4 linked regions of the Diceros bicornis minor genome follow. The protein of the gene in region 4 interacts with the protein of the main gene of each other region in a pairwise test. Links are inferred from orthologs where the notes say so. Each region holds a gene or a part of one and is shown on either strand. Other genes may lie near its edges. The genes, in order: PEF1, CSTF2, ANXA11 and TFG.

Evidence for each region.
Region 1: the proteins of TFG (region 4) and PEF1 interact in binary tests that used the Homo sapiens proteins (3 or more experiments, as listed by UniProt). The two-hybrid records come from large-scale screens. The link is inferred for Diceros bicornis minor from reciprocal best matches to the Homo sapiens genes TFG and PEF1.
Region 2: the proteins of TFG (region 4) and CSTF2 interact in binary tests that used the Homo sapiens proteins (3 or more experiments, as listed by UniProt). The two-hybrid records come from large-scale screens. The link is inferred for Diceros bicornis minor from reciprocal best matches to the Homo sapiens genes TFG and CSTF2.
Region 3: the proteins of TFG (region 4) and ANXA11 interact in binary tests that used the Homo sapiens proteins (3 or more experiments, as listed by UniProt). The two-hybrid records come from large-scale screens. The link is inferred for Diceros bicornis minor from reciprocal best matches to the Homo sapiens genes TFG and ANXA11.

The regions. Positions count from the first base shown.
Region 1 is NC_080752.1:46,549,049-46,556,696, reverse strand, and holds the start of PEF1 (peflin), read left to right. Parts: upstream 1-4,619; 5' UTR 4,620-4,910; coding exon 4,911-4,934; intron 4,935-7,648. UniProt on the Homo sapiens protein: Calcium-binding protein that acts as an adapter that bridges unrelated proteins or stabilizes weak protein-protein complexes in response to calcium.
Region 2 is NC_080781.1:93,991,847-93,999,285, forward strand, and holds the start of CSTF2 (cleavage stimulation factor subunit 2), read left to right. Parts: upstream 1-4,429; 5' UTR 4,430-4,692; coding exon 4,693-4,753; intron 4,754-4,780; exon of another isoform or gene 4,781-4,942; coding exon of another isoform or gene 4,943-4,943; intron 4,944-5,498; coding exon 5,499-5,577; intron 5,578-6,195; coding exon 6,196-6,365; intron 6,366-7,053; coding exon 7,054-7,190; intron 7,191-7,439. UniProt on the Homo sapiens protein: One of the multiple factors required for polyadenylation and 3'-end cleavage of mammalian pre-mRNAs. This subunit is directly involved in the binding to pre-mRNAs.
Region 3 is NC_080745.1:27,750,282-27,757,656, reverse strand, and holds the start of ANXA11 (annexin A11), read left to right. Parts: upstream 1-4,355; 5' UTR 4,356-4,562; intron 4,563-7,375. UniProt on the Homo sapiens protein: Binds specifically to calcyclin in a calcium-dependent manner. Required for midbody formation and completion of the terminal phase of cytokinesis.
Region 4 is NC_080754.1:5,386,115-5,393,022, forward strand, and holds the start of TFG (protein TFG), read left to right. Parts: upstream 1-3,905; 5' UTR 3,906-4,098; intron 4,099-6,908. UniProt on the Homo sapiens protein: Plays a role in the normal dynamic function of the endoplasmic reticulum (ER) and its associated microtubules. Required for secretory cargo traffic from the endoplasmic reticulum to the Golgi apparatus.

The sequences.
Region 1 (7,648 bases), on a different chromosome or scaffold from region 4:
ATTGATGTAGGGCAGAGGGAACAGCAACATGCCAAGGTCCAGAGATGATGGAGCACAGCGTGCTGGATGATGCGAGACAGTGCAGTCGGAATGCGGAGCGTGAGCAGGGGGACAGTGGGAAGCACAGGTTTATGAGAGGGCGTGTGGGGTCAGGTTTGCCTAATGGAGAATTCACTGACGACAGTGTGAAGAGTGGACTGGAGGGTCCTTAATTTGAAGAGACCTTCTACTCTGTAAGATGGAGAAATTGCTGCATATTTATTCTGCAAACAAAAATCCCAAAATTTGATGCCTTCTGGAATTTAAATCTTCCGTTTTGTCATAATATTTTCCCCTTTCACCAGAATTCAACAGAATCTATTTACACTCTTTCTTCACATGAGGTCTGTTAACCCCTTAAAAGGCTAGATCTTAAGGTCGTTGTCCTGAATAATCTCTGGGAATAGAACATATCAATGTACTCTCCATATGATCCCATAATGGAAGGGGAGTGCAGCCAAATTGCCATGTCTGCTGTTCTCATTTTTCTGTTGGTTCTGTGGAAAGCTGCAAATCACCCTCTGATCCAAAGCATCCAACTGGAATTTAAATTTCAGAACTGGAGCTAGTCAGAATCAAAGAGAATTAATTCCATAATAATTAAGTGGGTGTTGGTATTCCTTCTCAATAAGCGATACTGGAGCCTGGTGCTGAGCCAGGATGCCTGGGAGGAATGGTATGTCTCTAGGGGAGGCGATGTTTTCCAGGGGATGGGGCTTCCGTTACCAAGCTCTGCCTCCCCTCTAATGGCTCAACCACAGTGCTTCCATGAACTCAGGAAAGTGCTCTGTGCTCTAAAAAGGGCTGGAATCCAAGCTTTCTCCTTTGGCTAAAGATGAAACAATAACAGGAACTTCCCCACCCACCTCTGTCGGCCTCAGGTAGTTGAGGTTTTGGAAATGAGTTGATTGTTTTTCAGTCTTGGGAAGATCCCCATCTCCCTCTTTTCCACTCCTCTCCAAAATAAACACACCTGGGCCTGCCACAGGTCCTCAGAGGTGTAGCCCAGGACGTTGGCTTTGGCTGGTCTCTGACTGCCCGAGAGATGACTGGGATGCCCTGCCCCCAGAGAGCACAGATATCCCACAGAACGCTCTCCTAAGAGCCCTTTGCTGAGCAGAGAGGGCTGGGGTGTGAAATTCTCATAGGAGTCTAATCCTCGGCACCTAGAACAGAGCCTGGCAAGTGATGGGAACTCACTAAGTTAATACGTTTGTGGAATAAAATGAATGTGCATCATGTTACCCCAGTTTGCAGGCCAAGTGTCACTATTCTCTCTCCCAGCAAATATCCCTTGACTGTCAGCCCAGACTGCAGGACTTCTCCCCTTCTGAGATTTTGCAATTCGATTCCACCTATTCTGGGGACTTGGAGGGGAGGTGGTTACAAAAGTAAAGAACACAAGACCTACTAAGTACCCAGCAGTTAAAAGATTGTGGACCTGGGTTCAAATCTTGACTTCTCTATTATCTTTTTGATAGTAGGGAAGTCACTTAGTCTCTCTCAGCCTCAGCTCCTCATTATAATGGGTAATAGAATCTATCACAAAGGACTGTGGTGAAAATGAAACAACACATCGTACTTAGCACAATGTCTGGCACCTAGTAAGCATTCAATACAGGATAATAATAATAATAACTACTACCATTTATTGAATTCATGCCAGTCACTATTCTAGGCACTGGAGATAGAGGCGTGAATAAGAAAAGGACAATCCTACAATACACATGTAAACTTTAAAGAGGACAATTCAACTAGCAACAAGTATCATGAAAAAATGAGACACAGTGATATGACAACTAGAATGTGGTGGCAGTGGGGGCTATGTTACTTTAGACGTAGTATCAAGGAATGTTCCCCCAAGAAGGTGATAGTTGAACTGAGACCTGGATGGCCAGGAGGGGCCAGCCAGTGAAGTGCCTAGGGAAGAGCATTCTAGACAGAGGGAAGAGCTAATCTGAAAATCCAGAGGTGGGAATGAGCTTGGTGTGGAGACCAGGCCAGCTGGAGTGAACTGAGGAGGACAGCAGTGGCAGGAAGTGAGGCAGAGACGCAGGCAGGGTCTTGGTCATATAGGGCCATGAAGGTCATAAGGATGAGTTTAGATTTTATAAGAGTTACGGGAACCCTCTGGAGGAGTTTAAACCCAGGAATGACATTATCTGATTTACATTTAAGACAATCACTCTGGCTGCCCTACGAAGAACAGAGTGTGGGGGAAAGTGAAAGCAGGGCCATGGGTCAGGAAGCTATTGTAGTGATCCCGGCCGTAAAGGATGGTGTCTTGGGCTAGGGTGATCGCGCAAACAGGGAGAAAAGAGCAGATGTTACTATTTCTAGTATTACTAGTTTCTAGTATTAGTAATACTAGTTACTAGTATTACTATTTCTAGTATTACTATTTCAGAAATAGAGCAGGGTCTATTTCTGAACTAGACCAAATGGGGGTGGGGAAGTTAGTGGAAAAACAGAGACCACACAAGAGTGATCCTAGGTCTGTGGCCTGAGAGACTGGGTGGATTTTCTGAGATGGAGAGGAATGGATTTTGGGAAAAATATCAAAGAGAACTCTTACACAAGGCAGGCTGGAATATAGCACAGTGACAGTACCAAGTGCAAAAGGAGGCAGGCAAGAGAGTGGCTAACTCTGGACTTGCGGGAATGAGGGAGGGGTAGTTGCGGGGTGGGGTTGGAACTGAGCTTTGAAAGACTGGAGATGTGAAGGCTGCTGATCTGATGAAAGGAGTGGTTTGGGCATAAGCCTGGGCATGAGCAGGTGTGATAAGCCTCTTTTTCAAATCTCTTTACATATTTGTTCTGACAGCCAGGACACTGAGACTCACAAAGGTTAAATAACTTGCCCATGGTCGTACAGTTAGAAAGCAGTAAATCAAGATCCTCACTCCAAAGCAAGAGTGCTGGATGGTGGAACTGAACAAAGGAGTACAGAGGGGAAGACGGGCAGGGGATGTAAGATATAAGTTTGGAAATGTGAGGTTGGGCCAAAGGTCAAGGGCCTGGAGTGCCAGAATAAAGCGGTTGGGCCGTATTTTCTAGGTGGAGATGAAGAGGAGCCATTGCAGGCTGTCCAGTGGGCAAGCATCATGATTGGTTCTGTGATTTTGGAAAGCGCCTGGCTAGATGGTTAGAAAGTTGGGCTGGAATGGATAACACCTCATAACACTACTCACTTACTTATTTTTAAAAAATACAGTGTCAGGCACTGTACTAGGTACTGGGGATATAACAACAAGTAAAAACAGACACAATCTGTGCCCACATGAAAGAACTTAACAAAATAGTCGAATAAGCATTCAAATAAGTGTAGAGCCCGAATTACCAAGAGGCAAGTTAAGTACTTGACTATGAGGTCACTTGTAACCAGGATCTGACCTACTTTGGGGACCAGTCAAGACTCTGCTGAGAACCGGGCATCCATTGACCTCAGTTCTAGATCACACTCTGCCCTAACCCACTGCGAACCGGGGCAAGCCTCTCTGGACCACAATTTTCCCATTTATGAAAGAAAAGGCCCTAGATGATCTAACTTTCCTCCCACTCTGACGGTGTGGTACTTTCTTCTCCAAAGACCACAGATCTTACTCAAAGGTACTAACTGGCATGTGGTGTCAACATTAGAGAGTAAGTACAGACAGTCCCCGACTTCGGATGGTTTGACTAATGATTTTTCGACTTTACGATGGTGCCAAAGTGATATGCGTTCAGTAGAAACCATACTTAGAATTTTGATGTTGTTTCAGGCTAGGGATACGTGGTATGAGACTCTCTCATCATGCTGGGCAGGAGCAGCAAGCCACAAGTCAAAGGGGTCAGCCATGGTATCACCAAGGTAAACAACCAATACACTTACAACCATTCTGTACCCATAAAACCATTCTATTTTTTCAGTTTCAGTATTCAACAAATTACATGAGATATTCAACACTTAATTATAAAATAGGCTTTGTGTTAGACGATTTTGCCCAATTGTAGTGTTCTGAGCACGGTTAAGGTACACTAGGCTAAGTAAGGTACAATGTTGGGTAGGTTAGGTATATTAAACGCAGGTTAGGTATATTAAACGCACTTTTTTTTTTTTTTATGAGGAGGATCAGCCATAAGCTAACATCCATGCCAATCCTTCTCTTTTTGCTGAGGGAGACTGGCCCTGAGCTAACGTCCATGCCCATCTTCCTCCACTTTATGTGGGACACCGCCACACCATGGCCTGACAAGCAGTGCGTGGGTGCACGCCCGGATCCGAACCCAGGCCGTCAGCAGCGGAGCGCCCACACTTAACCACTGCGCCACACGACTGGCCCTAAACGCACTTTTGATTTAAGATATTTTCAACTTAGGATGGGTTCCTCATCATAAGAGGAACATCTGTACTTCCGCTGTTGCCTCTAGCCTTTCCACGAGGCCTCAGGCGGTTCCCCGTTGTCAGGGCAACCGCCTAAGCCCTCCGGCGGCGGAAACTTGAAGTGACGACAGCAACGACGCCACTATCATGCGTCCCATTTGCCAGGTTACAACATGGCCACTGCTGCAACACCCACCCAAGCCTCTCACTAAATATCCGGGACTGACCAGCCCTGTGGCCTACTCTAGGGCAGCAGTGGGAGAAACATCCGCGCCAACACAACGAACAAAATTTCGGAAACAGGACGCCGACGTTCAGGAGAAGCCCCTCCCGCTTCTCCGGAGTCACTCGACCACCGCCCTATACCGTCACTTCCGTCGACACATGCGCCCAGGATTGACAGTCGCGGACATCCAATCGAAAGCGGTCCCGCCCCTAGGCCCAGACAAGGGACGGGTTTGAAACCAGGAAGCCCCGCCCCTCGTCGACGTGTTACGTCAGAGTCGCCATGGCCAGCTATCCCTATGGGCAGGTGAGTGCGTGAGGGGCGGGGGAATCCAGGTAGGGGCCTCGCTACGTCCGGGCTCGGGACCTCGCTTTCCTTTCTCCCCGCTTTCTTCGCGCCCTTCCCACGCTGCGGTTGGCTTCAGCGAGGTCTCGCGCGGAAGAGAAGGGAAAGGGGACGGTCGGTCGCGTCTGTCACGTCACGTAGGACTGCACGTCGGGGAGGTCGTGTCGCGCCCCCTTTGACGTGGCGCACGGGAGGATTTGGGGGACTTGGATCTCATAGACCCAGGTTGGGCTCGGCCTGGCCCCACACCTTCCCAGGTCTCCGGCGGGGACCCTGAGCGGGGTCATCAACGCCAGTAGAACATTTAGACGCTAGTTCCGTCGGTATCATTTGGGGCGTCGGATAAAAATACACCCCAGACGTACTGCATCCGAATAATCAGGAGCCTCTGTGGCTTAGCAGGCTCCACAGGTGAGCTTCTTTGACTACTGACTTCGTCCAACACCCGCCTCCTTTCACACATAGGAAAAATGAAACCCAGAGAAGACACGGAACTTAGCTGAAGTGACTAGGCAGTTAGGCAGCAGAACCCAGAGCTGTCAGCCAGTGCCTCTTCCCCACTTGCCAACCCATCTCGATCCAGCCAAGAACACCGCAGCGAGGTGGTTCTGTGGCCAGAATCCTTTGCTGGGTGACGGAAGTGTGGAGGGGTAAGTGCAGTTTGGAGTCAGAGGAAGGTTCACATCTTAGCTCCATCACTTAACTAGTTTGGAGCCCTTGAGCAAGGTATTTTGCCTTTCTGAGCTGAAGTTAACTCCTCTGTAAAATAGGACCAAATAATAGAGTCTACCTCATAGAGCTGTTGGGAAGAGTAATGAAGTGATGCTTGTAAAGCATTTGGTACTACTAAGAGTGTAACAGGTGTTACCTCTCAGTGTTTTGATTTTTACCAGATTCTTAGAAGGTCAGTGCTGGGAGGGCCCTCAGAATAGTCCCTTCATTTTATTTTATTTATTTATTTTTGTGTTTGTGAGGAAGATCAGCCCTGAGCTAACATCCGTGCTAATCCTCCTCTTTTTGCTGAGGAAGACCGGCTCTGAGCTAACATCTATTGCCAGTCCTCCTCCTTTTTTTCCCCAAAGCCCCAGTAGATAGTTGTATGTCATAGTTGCACATCCTTCTAGTTGCTGTATGTGGGACGCGGCCTCAGCATGGCCGGAGATGCGGTGTGTCGGTGCGCGCCTGGGATCCGAACCCAGGCTGCCAGCAGCTAACCACTAAGCAGCGGGGCTGGCCCACTCCCTTCATTTTAAAAGGAGGAAACTGAAGCCCAGAGAGGGCTACTGAGTTGCCCAAGATCATGCTAATTTAGGAGATAAAACCCATGCAGGAAAAATTGGAAGACAACATTGTATGGGACATTACAAAGCAGTCGATGAGTACAGTCACATGGCAAAGGATGTGGCAAGAGCGCTCTGAGGGAGTGTAGCCCTGTACAGTTTTTGTACAGGTATTGGACCTCCATTATCTCAATCATGAAGCCCTGGAGGCATGCCGGCAGGGATTATTACCCCCAGTTGATAGCTGAGGAACGAGCCCAGAGAGATTAAGTGGCTTGCCCAGGGTCACACATAGCAAGTGAGGGGGTGAGGCCCGGGCTAGAACTTAGAAATCCTTTCATTGCATACTTAGCAGGGGTAGGAAAGAGAGAGGCCAGCCTAGGCGAGGGTTAGGAAGAAGTATAATCGAGCAGTGTTTCCCAAGCTCCGTTCCATTTGCTGAGTCTTGTGAGATGTTGATAGGTATTGCTAATGGAGGAGGATTTTTGTGGTTAAATGCATCAGGGAAATACTCTGTTAAATACAGCTGAATAAGTTGGTTCACCATAGGTCATCTCAGAATTCTTGATTTGTCAATATACATTGTAAATCTGCTAACAAGGGATAGAATATGCAGTATTTCTTAAACTTACCAACCATGGAATTCCCTCCTCCTCCCTTTTTTTATGTCTGGTCATTTTTCGGTAACACTAGTATTCCTGAGGAACACTGGGGAAACAGTCAGCCTGCGTCAGAATCACCTAGAAGCTTGTTGAAAACACACTTTTGGGTTCCACCTCAGACCTGTTCTGCACCCAGGAATGGCCAGGTGTCTACATTTTAATAAGCTTTAGGAGGTACTTTGTATGCATCCTAGAAACAGTGACATAGAAATTAAGAACCTGATCTTGCAGGTTAGACAGAACTGGGCTCAAATCCTAATTCTGCTGCTTAATAGTTACATGCCCTTGGACACATCATCTAAGGGCTCTAAGCCTCAGTTTCCTCGCTTGTAAAAAGGGAGGAATAAGACTTCATAGGACTGAAATGAGGATGAAATATAAAGCCTATAGGGAGCTTGGCACACTGCTAACACATAGTGTGTGCCAGTGCTGCCGCTGCTACAAATGCTGTTATCATGCCATGCTGCCTGGGCTTATGCTCAGTGAAATCTTGAAAAGGAGCACAGAGAGAAACGTGTCTGGAACGGAAGAAGAAATGCTGGAATAGCAAAAAAGTGCTTTTTTTCATATCCTTGTCTGCCTGTCCAGCTCCTGGTCCATGGTGTTCCAAGAAAGGAAATGTATTTTTTTTTAAAGCGTCCAAAGGCTTGGTGAGCACCACCTCCCCTCCACCCAGTACATAGCCCTGGAGGATTCCAGCCTATTGTTAGGAGTCAGAATTCTTGTAATTTTC
Region 2 (7,439 bases), on a different chromosome or scaffold from region 4:
CCCTCCCAGACCTCACCCTATGTATCTCTTCATCTGGCCGTTCATCTGTATCATTTCTCGCATCCTTTAACAAACTGGGAAATGTAAGTAACTGTCTTCCTGAGTTCTGTGGGCCACTCTAAGAAATTAATTGAACCCGAGGAGGGGGTCATTGGAACCTCTGATTCATAGCCAATCAGTGAGAAGCACAGAAGACAACCTGGACTTGCAACTGGCATCTGAAGTAGGATGCAGGCAGTCTTGTGGCAGAGCCTGTAACCTGTGGGATCTGATGCTATCTCCAAGTAGATAGTGGCAGAATTGAGTTCAAGTGTAGGATACCCAGCAGGTGTCACAGAGAATTGCTTATTGTGGGGAAAAACCCCCACACGTTTGGTGACCAGAATTGTCAGTAGTGAAGTGCTCTGTGTGAAAGTAAAGGAGACACACAGGAGAGGAGAATGGTAGGTTTTTCCAACACAGTAGGGAAATGCAAATCAAAACCACAATGGAACACCACTTCACCCCATTAGGGTGGCTATCATAAAGAAAAAAACAACAGAAAATAACAACTGTTGGTGAGGATGAAATGGGAACCCTTGTGCATCGCTGGTGGGAATATAAAATGGTGCAGCCACTGTGGAAAATGGTAAGGCGGTTCCTCAAAAACTTAAACATAGAATTACGACACGATCTAGCAATTCCATTTCTGGGTATATACCCAAAATAATTGAAAGCAGGGACTCAAACAGGTATTTGTACACCCATGTTCATAGCAGCATTATTCACAATAGCCAAAGGTGGAAGGAACCCAAGTGTCCATCAACGGATGAATGGATAAACAAAATGTGTTTGTTTGTATACATACAACAGAATACTAATCAGCCTTAAAAAGGAAGGACATTCTTTTTTTTTTTTTATAATTTTATTTATTTGTTTATTCCCCCAAAGCCCCAGTAGATAGCTGTATGTCACAGCTGCACATCTTTCTAGTTGCTGTATGTGGGACACGGCCTCAGCATGGCTGGAGAAGCAGTGCATCGGTGCACGCCCGGGACCCGAACCCAGGCCACCAGCAGCGGAGCACGCGCACTTAAGCGCTAAGCCACGGGGCCGGCCCAGGAAGGAAATTCTGACACATGCTACAACATGGATGAAACTTGAAGACATTAGGCTAAGTGAAACAAGCCAGTCACAAAAGGAAAAAGACTGTTATGACTCCACTTACATGAGGTACCTAGAGTGGTCAACTTCATAGAGACAGAAAGTAGAATGATGGTTGCCAGGGTCTGGAGGGAGAAAAGAATGGGGAATTAGTGTTTAATGGGCATGGAGTTTCAGTTTGGGAAAATAAAAAAGTTCTAGAGATGGATAGATGATGGTTGCACAATGTGAATATACTTAATGCCACTGAATTGTACACTTAACAATGGTTAAAATGGTAAATTTTATGTTATGTGTATTTCACTAGAACAAAAAAAAATAGCAGGGCCGGCCCCGTGGCTCAGCGGTTAAGTGTGTGCGCTCCGCTGCTGGCAGCCCGGGTTCAGATCCCGCGCGCGCACTGACGCACCGCTTCTCTGGCCACGCTGAGGCCGCGTCCCACATACAGCAACTAGATGGACGTGCAGCTATAACATACAACTATCTACTGGGGCTTTGGGGGGAAAAAATAAATAAATAAAATCTTTAAAAAAAAAATAGCAAACTAAAACTATCTCTGAGGTTTTATAAGAATCAAGTAAGATCTATGTAGAAAAGCTTTGTAATCTATATGGCTCTTCACAAACATTAGCTCTTTTTAGTCATTATCACCCTGTTTACCCCAACCTGATCCCATTACCCACATGCTCTACCCAGCTATGCTCACCCAGCAGTATACTGTTGGAGTTCAAGTGCTGTCCAATGATATCCACCTCCATTTTGCTAAATCCTGGATTTCATGTGCCAAGGCAACAGTGTCCCATAGTTCTGGTTCTGAAACAGAGCAAGCCTCCAAATAGATATAAGTTTTAGACAAGCCTGGTGGATTCTAGGGAAAAAAACTCAGGGACTTTCTCCTCTTTACTCAGTTTTCCCCAAAGCTTGGCTTGGAAGCAGTCCCCACTCAGCAACAGGAGGTCACCATGGCATTGCCAAGAACAAAGTAAATATTCCTCCACTTCAGTTGACCACCTAACTCCCTGGCTTGCTACCCAGCAACATATCTCATAAGGCATATCTCTTTGAGCAGGTGAACAATCCTGAAATTTCTTTGAAGGAAGAGGATTCTGGGGAAGGAAATGTATTCATTAAGCATGAATTGAGAACAAAAATAGTTAGATAAGAAAAAAAAATGAAAATGAAAATCACAAGACTAGAATGACCAGCTGTGATGGATTGGACAACTCTCTGTAACCTCAGAGTTGAACCCTCACATATTCCCAGAAAGCATAGATATTGCTGCAGAACCAGTGTGATAATGCAGTAGTGCAAAAGTTAGGAATGGTGTTTCTTTCTGCAAAGCAAGCCACTTGGTACCTACACCCAGATACTGACCAGGATCTGTGTCAGCATTCAGGTGCTCTCTGAGAGACCCAAGTTTCCTTAGCTCTTTTAGGCGCTGCTCATTGAGGACTTCTCCTAACATAGGTAATGCTACAGTGCCATCTGGAATCTTTCTCATGCAATATGTCTATCCAGGAGTTGCTGCCTTTCCAGATATTCCCTGGAGGACCAATGAGGGATTTCATTCCATGACTCTTTGAGGAGCTTTAAATGTGGGTCAAACATGAAGTAGTACTTACCTGGCCTTGGAAGTTTGACTTTCTACGGCCAGCAGAAAGAACCCGAGTCTCTATGCTCTCACAATCTTGAACATCTTTGCTTGCTTCACTTGTACCTTATCCAAGATTCTTAACATCATCAACAAGATAGGATAAGAACTCAGGACTTTTCCACAAAACTTTCTGCCAATGCCCCACAAATCTTAACTGTGGTTTCCCAAATTCTTTGATTCTCCATTATGTACCCTTTCTCTTTTGCTCAAACCCCCCAAAATAACACTTATTCTATATATTTAGCCCCATTTGTGTAGAAATGCATCTTTCCTAGTTCTCCCCCTACCTCTTCATACTGCACCTATATCGTTGTGTTAACTGAGCCTCAGTCAGAATACCTACAACAGCATCCAATGTCCCACCTTCTGTCTTCATTTTTCTATAACCCAGAGGCAAAAGAAATGTGTCACTCTGGGAGCATTGCAGTGACAGGAAGACTCTCGTGGACAACAGGCACTGAGGCAGGGGTCACTAGCACATGGCCTATAAACGAAACACAAATGTTGAAAAGCAAAAGCTTAGGAAATATCCCTCCCACACATCTCCTCTTTTATAACTAGTAGAATAGGGCTGGTTGATGAAGTGATAGAACCAACAACCCATTCTCCACAGACGGCTGATGGCAGCAGAACAGGCCAGGTTAAGTGCCTCAACCCATTCTTGAGTGGTTCATTACTATTAGTCATTGACCCACCATCACCAGGTCACACGCTCTCAGTTCTTTTCCAAAAATGGTAATAAAGTATATTGAGCTATCCATATTCTCTCAGTTATACTGGAAGGCAGAAAATACAGCAGTTAAGCATTCAGCCTCTGGAGCCAAAGCAACCTGAGTTCAAACCATGCTTTAGCTGCTTGCTGTGTCCCACCGGTCAATGATGTTTTCGGATACCCTGCCTGCCAATGTCCTCCGCCGCCCCACCGCCTCACCACCGCCAAACACACGGAGCCCAGGGGCTATGCGAAAGCAGCCAGGCACGTCTCCCTTTACCTCCCCATCTCCTCCGCTATGCCGGCGCCTTCACGTCGAGAGCCCCTCACTCTCTCAAGCTGCCGCGACCCTCTTTCCGCATCTCACTCCGTACACTCACAGCTTCTACAAAATGATAATCCCCACGCTGGTGGGCGGGGCCAAGTATTCCCCTCCCCTAACAGGGCGGGATTAAAATGAAAGTACCGGTTGTTAGCAAACGACTTCCCTTACCATGGTAAAACCGCTACCGCCATCTTTATTGAGGCCGACGATTACTTGTTAGCCTAAAAAAATGAATAAGGAATTCTACAAACTAAAATCCTTCAAATGAGCCTGGGGCCGCCGGAATCCGGCTCCGAAAGGAGCTACAGCCCAGCCAGAGTGGGTTAGCGCTCTCGTGGACATAACGCGCGCCTGCTGCTGACGGAATAACGCCAGGGGAGGGGCCCGCTGTCCGCCCGGCCCAGGCGCTTCCGGCTTACGCGCCGTACGGAAGCGTATTCGGCGCTGGACTCGCGCGCCGTACGGAAGTGTGTTCTGGCGCACCGGAAGCCGCCGGAAGAGAGCGATGGCGGGTTTGACTGCGAGAGATCCTGCGGTGGATCGTTCTCTACGTTCGGTGTTCGGTGAGAGGAATTCGGTGGAGCCAAGCATCGGTGGGGGACAGAAAGAGAGGGAATGGCGAGGAGTGTCCCTTGCACCTCGTGAATCGCCGCGGGAGCCGGTTGTGGGTCGGGCGTGCAGCTCTACCTGCCTATCCTGTGGGGCGGCCAACCTGGTGGACTCGTGGGCAAAGTGACGCTCCCCTAACCCCGAGGTTTCGCAGCCTTTCCACGATGTGCCTGAGGAAGTTAAATAGCGTTCAGCTTCTATGTGTTTCTCCTTCCATGAGCTTCAATTATTATCTAGAAGCGAGGGCGCATGGCAACTGTCCCGTACTACTTCTCACTCCCTGTCCCAGAATACAGATTATGTGCTGAAGGTATAGATCCTTGTGCCCACTTTCCGCCTTCTCATGAGGACTTTCATTCTCTGCTTTTTGCCCCTAACATTTTAGTTCGTCGATAACGGTAGCGACCATCTGGCATCTTAAGGTGGATTGTAAATAAATGAATGAATGAACGACTAAGACCTCGTCAAAGAAATTTTAAAGAGGATCGAATCTATTCTGAGTAATGTTTTCAGCCGAAATAAGTTGTTTTTTTATCAAAGTACATGTGATGATTTAAAGCACCTTTTGGAAGGACATGACAAAACAGTTCAGAATAATTTTTAAACATCCTCCACTACATTCATGGTCATTCTCCTTTGAGTGTGTGTATGTGTGGAAATACGGACATAGAAGCCGGTTTTAAAAATTATAATATTGATATTTTTAGTTGTTGTTGTTAAGACTTGGAGACTTTCAGGTAAATACCAATGCCTAAGTATTTATTTTCACCAAAGTTAAAGAAAATCTAACACTTGTCAGATCAGTCTGAGAAGTGATATTTAGGAGTGCCTACACCTTTTGTAGTTAGTCTCAGTGGTTTATTTCTCTTGTAATTAAAGTTAGCAGGCAAGATTGAAATCTTGTCTAAGGGAGTACCACAGAACTGGGATTGGAGAAACACCATATTTTGAGCCAGTTGTTACATTTTCAATGATATAAGTAGACACTGTGTACTTTCTCACTATAAAGATCTAGGTTACAAACTCAGAACTTAATATGCTATTTTCTTCCTTAGTGGGGAACATTCCATATGAGGCTACTGAAGAGCAATTAAAGGACATCTTTTCTGAGGTTGGACCTGTTGTTAGTTTCAGGTGAGATCCCCTTTTACTCCTTGGTGAGAGTTTCTTAAAAAGCCCCACAAATTTGGCCCTTAGTAATAGTGGCAAGGTTTTTACTGGTGACTTTATACATGCATTCTTTTTTTTTGTTTGTAACAGCTTTATTGAGGTATAATTCATGTACCATTCAATTCACATTTAATTTTACTAAAAGGTACATTTTTTTTCTTTTTTTTTGTTTTCCTTTTTTTTTTTTTTTGGTGAGGAAGATTGGCCATGAGCTAACATCCATTGGCAATCTTCCTCTTTTTGCTGAGGAAGATTGGCCCTGAGCTAACATCTGTGCCCATCTTCCTCTATTTTGTATATGCGACGCCGCCACTGCATGGCTTGGTGAGCGGTGTGTAGGTCCATGCCCGGGATGCACACCTGCAAACCCTGGGCCACCGAAGCAGAGCACGTGAACCTAACCACTTTGCCACCAGGCCGGCCCCCATTTTTTTCATTTAAAAAAATGTTTAAAAAATATTTCAGTGAGGCAGAGTGATGAGGTTATTTGTCTTACAGTGGACCAGATCAGGACATAGCAACGTTAGCAGGAACCCTGTGTGTATGTAACATTTGTGCCTGATACTTGGTTCTGCTCTCCAGATTGGTATATGATAGGGAGACAGGAAAACCAAAGGGTTATGGCTTCTGTGAATACCAAGACCAAGAGACGGCACTTAGTGCCATGCGAAACCTGAATGGGCGTGAATTCAGTGGGAGAGCACTTCGAGTAGACAATGCTGCCAGTGAAAAGAACAAAGAAGAGCTAAAGAGTGAGTATAAACCCAAGTTGTATGTAACATGAGTTAGTAAAGATGTAACAATGAAGATTTTCCATTTATGATATGTTTTAGCATCTGCTGAAGTGATTAGCCACACACTTTCTTTACTTGACCCATCTGAAATGCCTGCATTAGGGAAGTGTATATCTTTGAGAGACAAGGTAAAATTGACTTTAGAGAGTTGACTTTAGAAGTCCTTCAGTTGCCAGGGAGTTGATTTCCAGTTAAAGATGAGTTCAGGCTTACCAAGCCATTAGTAGTGTTAACTATGTCATTAGTGTTTGCCATTCCTGTAACTATGCCAGATCTGTAAATGGTGGGACTACTAAGGCGTTCTTATGACTTTTTTCATGAGGTAATAGATCCAGGAATTCCATTTTGAGGTTAACATCCTTTTCTGTTTAAATCTTTTGCTTAATGACTTGTCAAAAGAAATCGATATGCCTCATTCCTAATTTAACATTGTCCACCCATGTGTCCCAGCTTTCCTCTGAGAGCAGAAAATACACTCCTTCACTTCCTCCACAGAAATAAGAGACTCGTAAATCACTTATTTCTCAGCTCCAGAGAATTTAAAGTTATCAACAGGTCCTTACAGCAGCCCTGGAAAGTAGATACTTGAAGTGGTTTAGCTCTTTATTTTGTCTTCTTAACCATTTTGTACTTTCTTCCTGATCAGGCCTTGGCACTGGTGCCCCTGTCATTGAATCACCTTATGGAGAGACCATCAGTCCTGAGGATGCCCCTGAGTCCATTAGCAAAGCAGTTGCCAGTCTTCCACCAGAGCAGATGTTTGAGCTGATGAAACAGATGAAGGTGGGAGGAGGCATTAGGTTATGAATAAATCAAATCACATCAGATTTACAAGGAGTTAATTAATAAAGTTAATGGAAATGATTCTCTGAGCTCAAATAGAAAGTGTGCCTATTGACCACCATTTCTTGCACCTTCAATATTCTATATGTGCACAGTGTATTTCACATTTCATGCAAAGAGCTTTCCATTTTTGTTACACCAACACACCTACACAATCTGGCTGGGTTTTTGTGGCCCATAGATATCAGA
Region 3 (7,375 bases), on a different chromosome or scaffold from region 4:
TATTGTTTTTTTTTTTGAGGATGATTGGCCCTGTGCTAACATCTGTTGCCAATCTTCCTCCTTTTTTTTTTTCTCCCCAAAACCCCAGTACATGGTTGTGTATCATAGTTGTACAGTTGTAGCTCTTCTATGTGAGATGGCTTCTATGTGGGATGCCTCAGCATGGCTTGATGAGCAGTGAGTAGGTCTGTGCCCAGGATCTGAACAGCGAACCCCAGGCCACCAAAGCAGAACACGCAAACCTAATCGCCACACCACAGGGCCAGCCCCTGAAATTATTGTTTTTTGAAAAGCCATAACTTTCCAAAAATGGAAAACACACTTCTAAATAATCCATGAATTAAGGATCAAATCCTAATGGAAAACAAAAGAAGTATTCATAACTGAGAGATAGCAAAACATGGCATATTAAACAAAAGCATGGCTTATTAAAACTTGTGATATGTAGCTAAAGCAGGTTTTAGGGGAAGATATATAGTCTTCAATACATTTATTAGAAAACAACAAAAAATTCTGAAAATAAATGACCCTAATGTTCAACTCCAGAAACCAGAAAAAGGACACCAGAGCTAACCCAAAGAAAGAAGGAACAGAACTCAAAGATAAAAGCAGAAATTAAAACAATAGATAATTTTTTAAAAATTAACATGATTTAAACAATTAAAGGTTGGTTCTTTGCCAAGTTTGGCAAGCCTTTCTGGATCCCATCCTCTCACCTACCCCAGGGATCCTTTTTGCAACCCTCTGTTATGTGGGGTATTTACGATTTATTTGTTTCTCCATCAGATGAAGACCCGTATTAGAGCAAAGGAGTTTTCTTTTGTCCCTCTTTCCTTGGCACCAAGTGCAGGGCCGGTCATATTGGCTGTACTCAACCATTGTCTGTTGAATGACTCAAAGTAAGAAAGATTATAATAATACTATACTACTTGAACTGCAGGCCCTCCAGAATCAGTTCAACTGACCCCATCTCTTATCAACAGAGTGATTAAGAATTGTCTTTCAGAAAAACTGCAAAGTCATGCAGTCAGGGCGTGCGCAAAAGAAGAAATCGTGAACTGAAGCGACCTCAGAACCAAAGATTCTCCTCCCCAGGAATCCAAGGACCAGGACATGAGCAGAACTTGAAATTTGGACTTTTATTGGAAGTGAGGGGTCCCTCATTCAGGAAGATCCGGTGTTAAAGTTCCTTCCCCACCTCATCAAAATGTTTAGAACCCCATCATAAATGTTTAGAACCGTGTCATAAATGTTTAAAACCTTACCATAAATGCTTAAAGCCCACCAATCAAAACCTGTCCCACCAGCATTTCCACGTGCTAGCCTGTTCTCTCTAACCTGTTCAAGTTCACCCAAATCCTGAATAGGGAGACAGACCTGAGGGCACAGGCCCCGTGTCTCAGTGCAGATGAGTCTTGCAGAATAAAAGCTGATTCAGCCCCCCCACCCCCCGCCAGCCAAAGGCTGATGCCGTAACGAATTGGCTTGTTTATGCGCATGGGCAGAGAGAACCCCAATTTTGTGCGGTAACACTACTCAGAGCTCTACGGCACCTCACCAAGTTACAAAGCACTTAACTTTCCCTTCCTTCATTTGATGTTTGTATCAGCTCTGAGAAGAATGAAGCAGGAGTTATTTTACATATTTTTATAGATCATTTTGAAGATTTTATAGGCGAGAAAACCGAGGCTGGGAGAACGCATCACTTCCAAATGGCAGAATGGGAACGGAACCCAGGTGTTTGAACACCAAATCTAGCGTCTTTTCCCCCACATGGTGTTTCCACCGAGTTGGGGATCAACACGGGTTTGTTGAAAACAAATGGTTGAAAATCACGAAAAGGTGAGCACAGTGGTAGCTATTTATCGTTTGGGCCTTGAAGAGCTCAGTTCTGAAGCAGGAAAGTGTGTGCTACATACAGAAGGAATTCCACCCTAAATGATTTATTATTTTTTAACGTGATATTTAAAGAAGCATTCGCTCAGTCAGGAGGAAAGTGCGCCATTCAAAGAAGCTCGCCTTCGCGGCGGCGGAGGGCGAGGGCGCAGAGTGACCAGGAAGGGGGGGACTGGGTGCGTGCCAGGTGACCTTCCAGGACGAGTGCCCCCGCCCAGAGAGCGCGACGGGAAAGAGAAGCTCCCTCGGAACGCCGCCGGTTCGCTGGGGGCTTCACGCCCGCGCCCCGAGTCCCGCCCGCTCCTGCGCCGCCCCGGGCGCCCCCCCCCCCAGAGTAATAACCAACCCTGGGAGAGTCTCCCGGGGCCTCAGACCCTCCGCTCCTCTTCTGCTCCGGGGAGCGTTTCCTCCGAGTCGCTCTGGAGCCTCCGGCCTGAGTCTCCCCTCACTCGTCCACTCATCTCCAAAAAATGCGGTCCAGGCCCGAAAACGAGCCGCGCCTTGAGGGAGGGGGCATGTTGGAGAGGCCGCGGACGATGACTGGGTCCCCAGCGTTGTAGTGAGACTGCGGCCGGGCTGCCCCAGGGCACGGCTTCTGTCAGGCACCCGCCCCCCTGCCGGGGCAGAGCCGAGGCAAGAGCCTCCTTTTCGGCCTACCGCGTCCAGTCCTTCCCGCTTCGTGCCCTGTTAAAATGCCAATAAGACCAGCAGCGTTGTTTTTAACAGCCCCAAACAGGCCACGATCCAAATGTCCTTCAGTAAGGACTAGGTAATAAAGAATGGCGACGCGCACGACGGCGCATACTGTGCATTAGTTAGTGATGTGGGGCCGCTGAGTCTCGAGTCGAAAAAGAATTTTCAGACACCAGCCGCTCGGTGGTTCGTGCACCTCTATTTTGTGTTCAGCGTGGGGACAGGACCCATGGGCAGTAGAGAGCTGCTGCATGGAAGTACCTGTATGGGGCCATTATATACCAGTTTAGCTATTTTTAGTATTCTATAGAAATGTCAAAAGAGAAAGTATTAGGTGGTCTGGTTAGCCTCAAAGATTAGGGTATGGGGGCGGATGAAGGAGATGTGTCCTTGCATTCCAAGGTACAATATGCCTCAAGGAACACATAGGCAGGAGAGTAAAGTCATTGATTGCCTCCCTGAAGGTAAATTTCTTCGCTCCTAGCCAGAGGCGATTGAGTAATGCGACGAGACTGAAAGAAGTCTCATGGAAAGAATTGGAAATTGTAAAACAAGTCATAAACAAGGTTTCGACCACGTCATTAGGAAGAACAAAAGTTGATCCAGGTGCGCTTGCATGTAAAGGCTCTCCAAGATACAGTGAGTAAAAAAATCACACTGCAGGAAAATAACTGCAACACTGTTTTGTAAACAATACATCTACATGGATATACTATACACAACAAACAGAGTGTGTTGTAGAGAGAAAGATCTGGAAGGGCACACCTAAAAGTGGGTTAGGGAAGTGAAGTCAGTCTCAGTTTTAAAAAAATCTTTTATAACTACCATATATTCATATATTTTTATAACTACCATATATTCATATATTACGTGAATGACCTTTTTTTAAAAAATAAACTTTATTTTTTAGAATAGTTTTAGATTTACAGAACAATTGCGAATCAGAGTTCTCATAAACCCTGGTTTCTGCTGTTATTAACATCTTATATCAGCATGGTGCTTTTGCTACAATGAATGAGCCAATACTGATGCATTATTATTAACTAATATCCATACTTTATTCAGATTTCCTTAGTTTTTACCTAATGTCCTTTCACCAGGATACCGCGTTACATTTAATTTTTATATCTCCTTCGGCTTCTCTTGGCTGTGACAGTATGTGTCTCAGATTTTCCTCGTTTTTGATGACCTTGACAGTTTTGAGGAGTACTGGTCAGGAATTTTGCAGAATACCCCTCAACTGGGATTTCTCTCATGTTTTTCTCACGATCAGACGGGAATTATGTATTCTTGGGAGGACGACCACAACGGGGGACACACTATCACTGTGGATTTATCATTCCACGTTGACCTTGATCACCTGGCTGAGGTGGTTTGTCCGGTTTCTCTACTGTAAAGCTACTCTTCCCACCCCCACCCCCATTTCCACACTGTGTGACTTTTTTTAATGCAGCAAGTTTTCTTTACCTTAAAGAGTCACTAACAATGGTACAGGGGACGGAAAGGGCTTGGGGAATTCCTCCCCCTAGCGCGGTGCAGGGCGGGACCGGTCGCGAGAGGCGGGTGGCGTATGGGCTCCGCGGCGTCCTCCTCCGTCCGGCCGCGGGAGCCGGAAGACGGGCAGCTTCCTTGCCCCGCCTCGCGGAGGCTGGTCCCCGCCCACTGGCCCGGGCCGGCTCTCACCTGGGGGCGGGGCCACGGCCAGCCCCGCCCCGCCCCGCCCCGGGGAGCCTAGAGCGGGCGCGCCCGCCGAGTTTTCCGGCCAGCGGGCTCCTCCACCCGCCCCGCTCTGACGGCTGCGGCGCCCGCGGGTCCGGAGCGTCCCGAGTGCCCCGAGCGCCCCGAGGACGGGAGTGGGACAGAGCGCGAGGCCGACCCAAGGCGCCGCACCCCGAACGCCCGCAGAGAGAGCCGCTGCCGCCCGCGTCCTCGTCCGTCCCTCGCGGCCCCCAGCCCCCGTGTCCAGTGGCCAGGTGAGTGAGGGTCCCCAGCCGGCCGGGGGCACGGGACGGGACGGCGGCAGGGCGCCGCGACCCCCGCAGATGAGGCCCGGACGGCCCCGCGCCCCCTCCCGGCGGCTTCCTGGTTGCACGGCATGGGGGCGGGGACGGGTGTCGCGCTGGTCCCGGACGGGCGTCGGCCTGGCTGCCTAGCTAGACCAGCGGCGGGGGCTGCCCTCCCTGTGGGGTGGGCGGTGCGCAGGCCGGGCCCCGGGGTCCACGGCCACGTGATTGTCCAGCGCGGCCCGGGCCGGCTTGGGACCAGGTGAACAAGCGAGCAGAAGGCGACTGGCTGGTGTGGGGGGTGGCCGGTGGCCCCTGGCCCTCCGACCCAGCTGAGTTCTCGAGAGTGTGCGCGCCCTTCTGGGAAAGGCTTGTGCTGAGGAGAGATAATAGAGGAGGCTGCCTTCAGGAACCTTCCTCTGGAACTGGGAGGACGCAAATTCCTGGGAGCTGCTAGTGTTGGAGTTGATTTGTAAGGCACCTTATTTGAGAGAATGCAGGATCCATCCCTGGTGCTGTGTTCACCTGTGTGTTTACCGTCTCTGCCTTTCCCCCTTCTTCAGCCTTGAACTACAATTTCAGGGAAGGATTCTTGGACTTTTGTCTCCCCCTGGGCTCTCAGCCCAACCCTCTGAAGGCTTAAAAAGGCAGAAATCCATATTGGCTTAAAGGAGAGTTGTGAAGTTTGTCATCTAGACACTTTGGAGAGGAGTTAAGCTAGCTAGAGCTAGCCCAAGCTAGGAACAGTCTGCCCTGGACGTTTCTGTCCCTGCCCCTCTAATCAGTGACCTTTCTATGGAGATGGCGTATTTTAGGACAGACTCTAGGTATCCATGGTAGCCAGCCACTCTGCCCTCCCTCCCAGCCTTTGCTTTGCTCTCTGCTGCCCTTGGGCATGGAGTGGTGCTGTGAGGGGTGAACCTCTGCCCTGCCCACGTAACAGGAACCAAAGCTTGCAGGCCAGGGCCAGGCTGAGCCCACGAGCTGGACAGGCAGGGTGTGTTACCTTGCTCACGGGTACCTGGCTTTCCTTATGTTCCTTCATTGCTTCCTTGCTTCAGTCCATTGTTGGGGATTCCAGGAGGATTAACATGGGCTCTTGCCTCAGGGCACTCGCTGTGCTACAAGGAGTTCCCTGACAAGAGAGGCCAGCTGAGGTGCCAGGGCAGTTTGTTGCCCTGGGCATCGGGTGCTCACTACGTCGGGCTCCTGCATCCCTCCCTACTCTCGTCTCTTACCAGTCTCTGTGCCTTGGTTTCCTCATCTTGACAATGGGGGTACTAACAATATCTGCCTCCCAGCGTTATTGTGAGGATTCAGTGCGTTACTATATTTAACAGCTTTACAGCTCAGACACTAAAGAGCAGTCAGAACAGGTGGTGACTGGTACACCATACCTGTGTGTCCCAGGTAGATGTCACTCACATTAGACATAAAGCTTACAGCAGGGCCTGGTGCATAAGTAATCATCTGTGAGTATCAACAATAATAATATAGTAATAATAGCTACCACTCCCTTCATGCAGCTGAAGATCTGGCTGAGTTGAACTGCTCCCCTTCTGACCTGTCCCTCTGTCTTAGCTCATGCTGAAATGCCCTCCTTCCCCCATTTCTGCCTATTAATCACCGCCCTCATGGGAGCCACCGAGGTGCCTGCTCCCAGCAGGAAGGGACAAGACATGCTCTGAGCCCACGCAGCCCTCCTCCTCCATTCCTTTGGCACTGACGCTCTCTCCTTGTGTAGTATTTGTATGGCCACATTTCTTATCTCTGCCCTGTTCTTTGTCTCTGGAGAGTGGGGGCTGTTTCTTACTCATCTCTAGGTCTCACAGCACCCAGGATGGGCCTTGCCTCATGTAGGTGCTCAGAAGATGTTAGTTGAGTGAAAGAGCCAGGCCAGGGAAGTAAGATTTCCCTGTTGTTAAAATATTAGACCTTGAAGGCTGGGTTTGGATAGGCAAAAAAAAAAAAAGTGGGGAGAGTGAGATAAAAATTATTCCAGACTGATAAGTGGGAGAAGGCACTGGCTGAGAGGCCAAGGTGGAGTTCCCTTTGATTCCTTTATGTAGCCAGGGCAAGGATGATCCGTGGGCCCCATCTTGATTGCTGTACCTAGAAGGCCAAGATGGATTGGAGATGCCTTGGTCACATGATTTGGGGAAGGATGGGTAGTTTGGGATGATAGGAGTGAGAATTGAGCCAGAATAGGTTAGTGGGGGTTCTTCTCGGGAATTCACTGCAGAACAGAGAAAAAAAAGCTGGTGCATGCAGGAGGTGAATGTAGAAATGAAATCCACGCCCAGTGCTGGAGGATGTTTGGAGGGCCCAGGACCTTTGTGGAGCTCCCTCTTCTCCTGGAATCACCTCCTTCTTCCTCCCTCTTAGCTGCCATCTTCCCCCCATAAGCCTGAAACAGTTCCTGGGACTTGGTCCTTTGGGGGTACTCAGGGGAGAGCCTGTGTGTGTTTCACAATTACAGCCAAGCAAACAGACTCAGGTCTCTCTGCATTTTTCTCTTCAACACCCTCTGATGCCATTGCCCCTAGAACACCAGGAATTTGAGTGATACCTAGATAGGAAAGCTCTCAGGGAAGATGAAGGAACTGAAGTTTCCTTGCTGGGAATTTGTGGTTTTTTTTTCTTTGGTGAGAAAGATTGGCCCTGAGCTAACATCTGTTGCCAATCCTTCTCTTTTTGCTGAGGAAGATTGGCCCTGGGCTAACATTCGTGCCCATCTTCCTCTACTTTATATGTGGGACACCTGCCACAGCATGGCTTGATAA
Region 4 (6,908 bases):
TCTTTATGTTTGGCCAATGGAGGGGAGACTGACCTAACCAACTGGCCCCTATTTGGTCTTCTGGAGTTTCTCCTTCTGTCTGGAGTTCTCTTAGTTAGCTGACTGCCACCACAACAGAGCTGATTCTTAGGGAGTCACATAACTTCTCCTTTGAAAATCTCACCCAAGGAGGAACTTACAGCCTTTCTTTGGTTCCCCGGAGGGTAGCTGAGATTAAAAATTTCAAAATGATTTATACTAACTACTAAAGGAGAACATGATGAAGCACAGGTTTCATCTCACTTGCTTATAAGGCTCATGGGCTTTGGCGCATTTCCTGTCCAGGCTGAAATCTCCCTTTTTCATTCTCAGGATTTCCCCACTTGATTGAAGAGTTCTAGCCACAGAGACTTTGATGGAGAAAGAGCTGACTCTCTCCCTCAGAACCACAGGACAACTCTCTCCCTTCTTCAGATGTCCCTGAAGCACAGAGAGTAACCTTCAAACGTAGAGCCACATTTCCCCCCTTGGTACAGGTGAGGTCAAAGGTATTTCCTCACACTGCTTCTCCTTTCTTCACATATTCCAACTTGCACACTTCTGATTCAAGGCTATTCTTGGTGCTCATTTAAGACCAAACTCACCTGGACATAGGACAGAGGGCCACGTGAGCACGAAGCTCAATTTACTCTGGTTCAGTGTCTTTCTAAGCGCCACACAAAAAGGAGGGGAAGATGTTTTCTGACTAAGAGCACTTTAAAGGTGTGATTACTTATAGAATTCCTAGAACCATCTTCTTAATGGCTTGATTGAGGCTTATCCCAATAAATGTGACCATAAGTGCTTAGTAAATGATAATTGTATGATAACAGCCTTTTGGCTTCACTAACAAAAGGCAGCAGTAACTAAAATCAGTGTCTACACGTACAGTGGGAGAAACCACGTTCTTGGTAAGGCTGGTAACTGGTTCAATTCAGGTTATCGCTCTCTGGTCAGTTATCACCTGCATTTATTGGGAGCATAAGTACAGAGACCTCTATCATCAGCAACTGTGGATACATTACAGAAACTAATAACTATTCCCTTGACTCAACAGATATTCATTGAATGCCTGCTAGTCACACAGGGCAATCAATGCCAGTTGCTGGGAGGGGTAGAGAGAATATAATCACTGCCCTCAAGTGGGGTGGAGGCAGGGGTGGTGAACAAGCTTCTCAAAGACAGAATTATAAGTAAGGATAAGAACAATCACATGAGATTTCATAAAGAACTAAATGTCTAATTGTCAAACGTTTGGTACAAAGTCAGGGTTATAATGTAGTCCTCATGGTCTTCAACAAGACCACAAAGAGATACCATTTATAGTCGCCCACAAAATAAAAAGTCTCAATGATACCAACAGTTGGCATTATCTTATAGTTAAATATTTGCATAATCTACCATTCAGCAATCCATGTATTAGCATATAATCAAGAGATACTGTTGTACCAGAGACATATACAAGAATGTTCATGGAGGCATGCAGGAGAAACTGGAAACAACCTAAATATACTTTGATAGGAAAACAGATTCAAAAAAATTTGTGGTATTTTCTGCCAAGGAAATATTACACAGCAATGAAAATGAACTCCAGCTATATGCCACAACATGGATATATCTTAGTAGCATAATATTGAGCACAAAAATTATGTCCCAGAAAACCACAGAGATGATACTAAATATAATATCTATAAACAAGTAAAATTGAACATATTCCACAGGCATACATATATATGTGATTAAACTATGTAAAAGATTGAAAAAACAACAACGAAACCAAGGGATTGTGAGACACAAAATCCAGAGCGGCATGGGGACTACATGGGGGAGGAGCACATAGCAAGACATCATTTATTGATAATGTTCCAATCCTTGGGTTGGGTAGAGAGTTTCAGCTGTTCACTATGCTCAAATTAATTTTTAAAATGTAGTTGTTATATAGGATCAGGAACACGTTTTTGTGGACAATTTAGTATTAAGCTGCAACCAGAAAATGGGCAGAATATGGTTTTGGTTATTAAGGTATTTATAACCTAACAAGTCAATTTGACAAACTCAGATGATCATTTTGTGTGCTTTTCGATACATGCTCTCATATGATATATACATAAAGCCAAATGTCCTCCATTTCATGCTCAATCACAATATTGTAAGCCTACATCCAGCTGGATAGCAGGAGGCAAAATCTTTTACAGTTTTTTATTAAAAATTTAAAAATGTACATTTCTGGAGAATCCTGGGGAAATGCTTTAATGTTGCCTACGTGTCCTTCTTGTCCCATGTCACCTGAGCCTCGGATCTGGCTTCCAAATGATGCTTTACTTCCTCCTTTCTCACTTCTTGCCTCAGGCAGCTCCTGCTTCTGCTTTGACCTGAGGAATCATCACCACCCCATCTCTCAGTTTCCACAGTGGCAGCTGGGAACAGGTGTAACATTAAACATGACTTCACTAATTGCTTGGGCATGAAGCATGAGGGAATTGGCAACATAAAGAACCTCAAGCTGCTTTCCGAGTCCACAAGCCCCAGCCCCTCCAGAAGACTACCTTTTGAGTGTAGTCAAAGGTACACTTTGACTCGTCCTAGCTTCCAGCTGGCCCCAGTGTAACAGGGATCAGTTTATTTCTCCTCAGCGGCAGGACTCTTGAATATGTGCCCCTTTCCCGGGAGCCTAGAGAGAGGAAATTCTTTCCCCTCGTTCCAGGCTAAGGTTCATCACCTTATCTCCCGCCCCAGGATCTGATCTCTTTCTAGGAATATTGACGGCGGTATAATTCACTTCCTTCAGGGAGAATTTTACCTCTGCCATATTTGTCTGGTTTTATCCAATCTCAAACCATCTCAAAGACATCAGAATACTATTATTGGACAGCAGTTCTCTCCCCAAGTTTGGATTACTCAGTTCTAAATAACAAGCAATGAAGAACAGTCTTTGGAGAAAATCAGCAACTTTTTTCATTTCTTCTACGGTCCTCGCTCCCCAATTTCTGCAAGCATTTGCTCAAAGAGCAATATACACAGGGTTGCAAAATACAATTCAGAAGCAAAAAGCATTCTAAACTCACACATTTCACTCTCACATAGAATTTTTCAGACTTATAACTGCAAAAAGATCACACTATTTACACTACTAAAACTTCTCACCCTGAATTACTCTACCCCAGGTAAAGTTGCTTGCATCTTTTAAAATAGCACCGCCCCCCCCCCCCTGCTCGCCCAACGTAGGGTTCAGTCTTAGCCAGGGCGCTTCTTAACATAAATACCCGTATTCAAAACAAACGCTTTAGCTGAGAAGGAAAGAGTATATAGGGCACGCTCAAATGCCTTATCCTCCAAAAAGGCTTCTGGAATCCTTAATCCGCCTTCATTTCGCAGCGTTTACCCTTTACACTCATAGGTCTGTTCTGTCTCGTAACCGCTCCTGGAAACTGCTTGCTCACAGACTGATTCATCCCCAGTCCCAGCACCCTGCGTGGCAGAGCGTAGGCGCCAACAGTGAATGAATGAGTCTGCAGAAGACAGGCGGGAAAAGCGTTCGCTTCTTTCGCGATACGACTAGAACTACAGTGGTCACAAAACAACAACAAAAAAAACCACCCAAAATTGGACAAACACCCACTTTCAACCGGCTCTCAAAAAGAGCCCAAAACAGCGAACTACACGCCCCGACAGGCGCGAGACGGTAAGCGGAAGCCTTCCAGAAAACCGGAAGTGCTGGTCACGCCCCGCGCATGCGTGACCCCGAGCCGCTCACACTTCCTGCGCTCGGTCATCCAGTGAGAAAGCGAGGACTGCGGCCCACGCACGCCCGGGCCTCGCCGGCTCCGCGCCGGCGCCGCTGCGCATGCGTCCTGGGGTGGCCTGTCGCCGTGAGGCGGGGCGAAGGGACAGATTTTGTTCTTGCTCCCGCCCCTCTCTTCTCTACCTGCCACGTACTGGGCCGAGCTCTCGCTGGGCTCGGTGGGTCCGCGCGATTGGCCCGGCCCGCCGAGGGGACCGAGTGAGCCGTGAGCGCAGCCTCCCGACGCCCCGGAGCCCGGCGTCCGGCCAGCCGAGACCGCGAAGCGGCCTCGGAAGCCGGTATGGCCGCTGAGACGGAGGCTCGGACGAGGCGGGCCCCGGACGGGGAAGCGCGGGGAGGGCCCCGCTCGAGCCGGCGGGCGGCGGGGCCGGAGCGGCCGTGGAAGGGGTCGCGGGCCGGGAGGGGGAGGCCGGGTGGGGCCCGCGGGGGGAGGGGAGCGCTCCGGGGTGGAGGGGGTCCCGCAGGCCCGGTGGCAGGGCGGCGGGCCTCTGGGGCTCTGGGGCTGTTCGGGCCGGATTCCGCCGGCTCCAGGGGTCGCACTGGCGAGCGGGAGCTGTGGGAGGCCGGGGGCGAGCGAGCGGCCCCCGCCAGAGGGCCTGGGAAGGGCGAGGAGGGCGGAGAATGGCGCTGTGGGAATAGTGGATTGGGGTCACTGGAGAGGAACCTCGTTGCTTCGCTGTGTCAGCGCTGAATCAAGCGCCGTCGGGAGGCCTAGCCCAGTTTTACAGTGATGACGATCATGATCGCTAACTTGTAAGAGTTTACTTTGTTGGGCGCTAGACTGAGTATTTTAGATGCATGATCTCCTTTAGTCGTCACAAAGATCCTTCCAGATTTAGATATTATTTACATTTTGCACATGATGAAAGTGAGGCCTGGAGAAGTACTTGCCTAAGGGCACACGGCTAGTAGTGGGAATCTTGACCATCTTGCTACACTGCCTCTGGTCAAGCAGGATTTGAGGCTCCTTGCGTTCTTCGGAATAATCAAGAGTTGATTTGCTTAGAGTTTCTTAGAGGAAATTTCTACCCTCGGGAGGAGCCTAATCAGGCCCCCTGATTTGAACCGGGCCCTACCCACCGGGTTAGTCGAGCTTGAGGTTTGGCCACTGAAGCTAGATCCTGGTTCAAGAGGCAGGCTTTTTATTTGCATTTGGGCAGTCGCTTTATTCTCCCGCCCTGAGAACAGTGTTCCTGTTGGAAGGTTTCATAAGTTAATGGCTGTGTCATTTCTGGACTTGAGAGGGAGTGGGGCAAGGACAAGATGGGAGAAGAAAATGCTGTAAGGATCTCACCAGCAGTACTGGGAACTAGTGGTTTATACCAGTCTCTACCTTGTGACTGAAGTTAGAGAAAAACAGGACCTGAATTCTTCTGTTACATAAAGAAATTGGGGATGGGATTTCCCCCAGCAGGGAAAATTCTGTGGCACCCTTAGTTTTGTGACAGTGTGCATGCCTTGAGGAGATGACTGCACACACTGGGGACAACCTTGAGGAAGAAGCCCTAGTTCAGGCCGCAGGGGGTTTCCAGTCCCTAAGAAACACCAAGGAATAAGTGAATTTGCAGGCAAACATGGGTGATACAAAGTAAGAGAGACTGATGTTGTCACATCCATTGGAACTGAGCAACAATCCCCCCATAGTCAAAAGGACATACTATCAATTATATTCGATGTTGGAAATTTCTCTTAATTAGGAGTATGTGTATTGTGGGGAGTCACTTCTAGTTACATAAAGAAGGTACAGTCTGAAGGTCTGTCTTAGGAACTGACCTGAGCGTACAGCTTCTTCCAATCCCTGTATTAGAACTTAATTATTCCTCATTGATGTTTTGTTCAGGAAACAAAAACAAGCCTTTAAATACCTGCTATATGCCAGGCACTATTCTAGGTGCTACTGAGGGTAGATAGTACCATCTTGCTGAGGCTAAGCCCTGGTCCTTGACTATGTTATTGCTGGTTTACATATCCTGTGGGTAGGAGAAGGTAGCGTGCATTGAGTTACTGAAGTTCTTTATTACTCTCAGGCTGTAAGGCAAACAAGGTGGAATCTGGACCGTCTTCTTGAAGTAATTATACTTCAGAGCTTGGCACATCGCAGGTATTCAGTAGCTGTTTCCTGAATGAAGAGAGCATGTTTGGCTAACGGGTGAAAAGGTCCTATGGAGGTTTCAGTTAATCACAGTCTTCATGAGAAGTCCATTATGAGAATTGGCAGATAAAAAACTAACCGTATCTTATTTTACATTACGACAAACACACCATCCAGATCGTGGAACACAGTCCGCTCGGTCCTGCACTGACCTTAGAGGGTTAGATTCAGTATGTAATGCCTCATTGCATTAAAGATTTATTAATAAAATATAATCTGTTCAGAGGATGGCAAGGGGGTCTAAGACATTCATTTAAGGAATAGTCAGTAGGAAGGACCTAGGGCATTTATATGAAGAACTTTAGGGCATTATATGTAATATTCATGAAATGAGTTAGGACTCATGAAAACTCAGGGTTGGTATTTGAAGGGTTGGTGTTTTGGGATGGTGGGGTGCTTTCAAACACATACACACACACAAAGAATAATTGTAGAGAAGTATGAAAACCAAGTATGATGTTAATGAAATAACAAATTTAAGAGGAGAAAACAGAAAGCTGCCAGTAGAAAAGCATGAGATTGAAACCAGAATAGCCAGTAGGAGACTGTAGGGCGCTCTGAACAGTCTGAGAGGTCGTTTACGTGGGGCAGGAGGAGAAAGGAGTTGATGCTGGGGAAGTGCAAAGTGGTGTTAGATAATGTATTCAAGAACATCTCGGTCTTGAAAACAAGAGATAGGCCTTGAGAAGAAGAGATATTAACACATTATTTAATCGTGAGTGTTTTCTCTATTATATAGTAACCATTTAAATTACTAGAGACTTGAGACATTATTTTGAGTTTAGGATTACAAAGTCATTACAGGATGCTCACACTGAATAACCTGAAATAAAATTGAACTAAAACCCAAGAGGGGGAAGTTCTAAAGCAAATTAGTATTTAGTGGTCAGTTCTCTGACAGTCTTCTTTCTTTTCTAAAGTGTGCACTCTGATCTT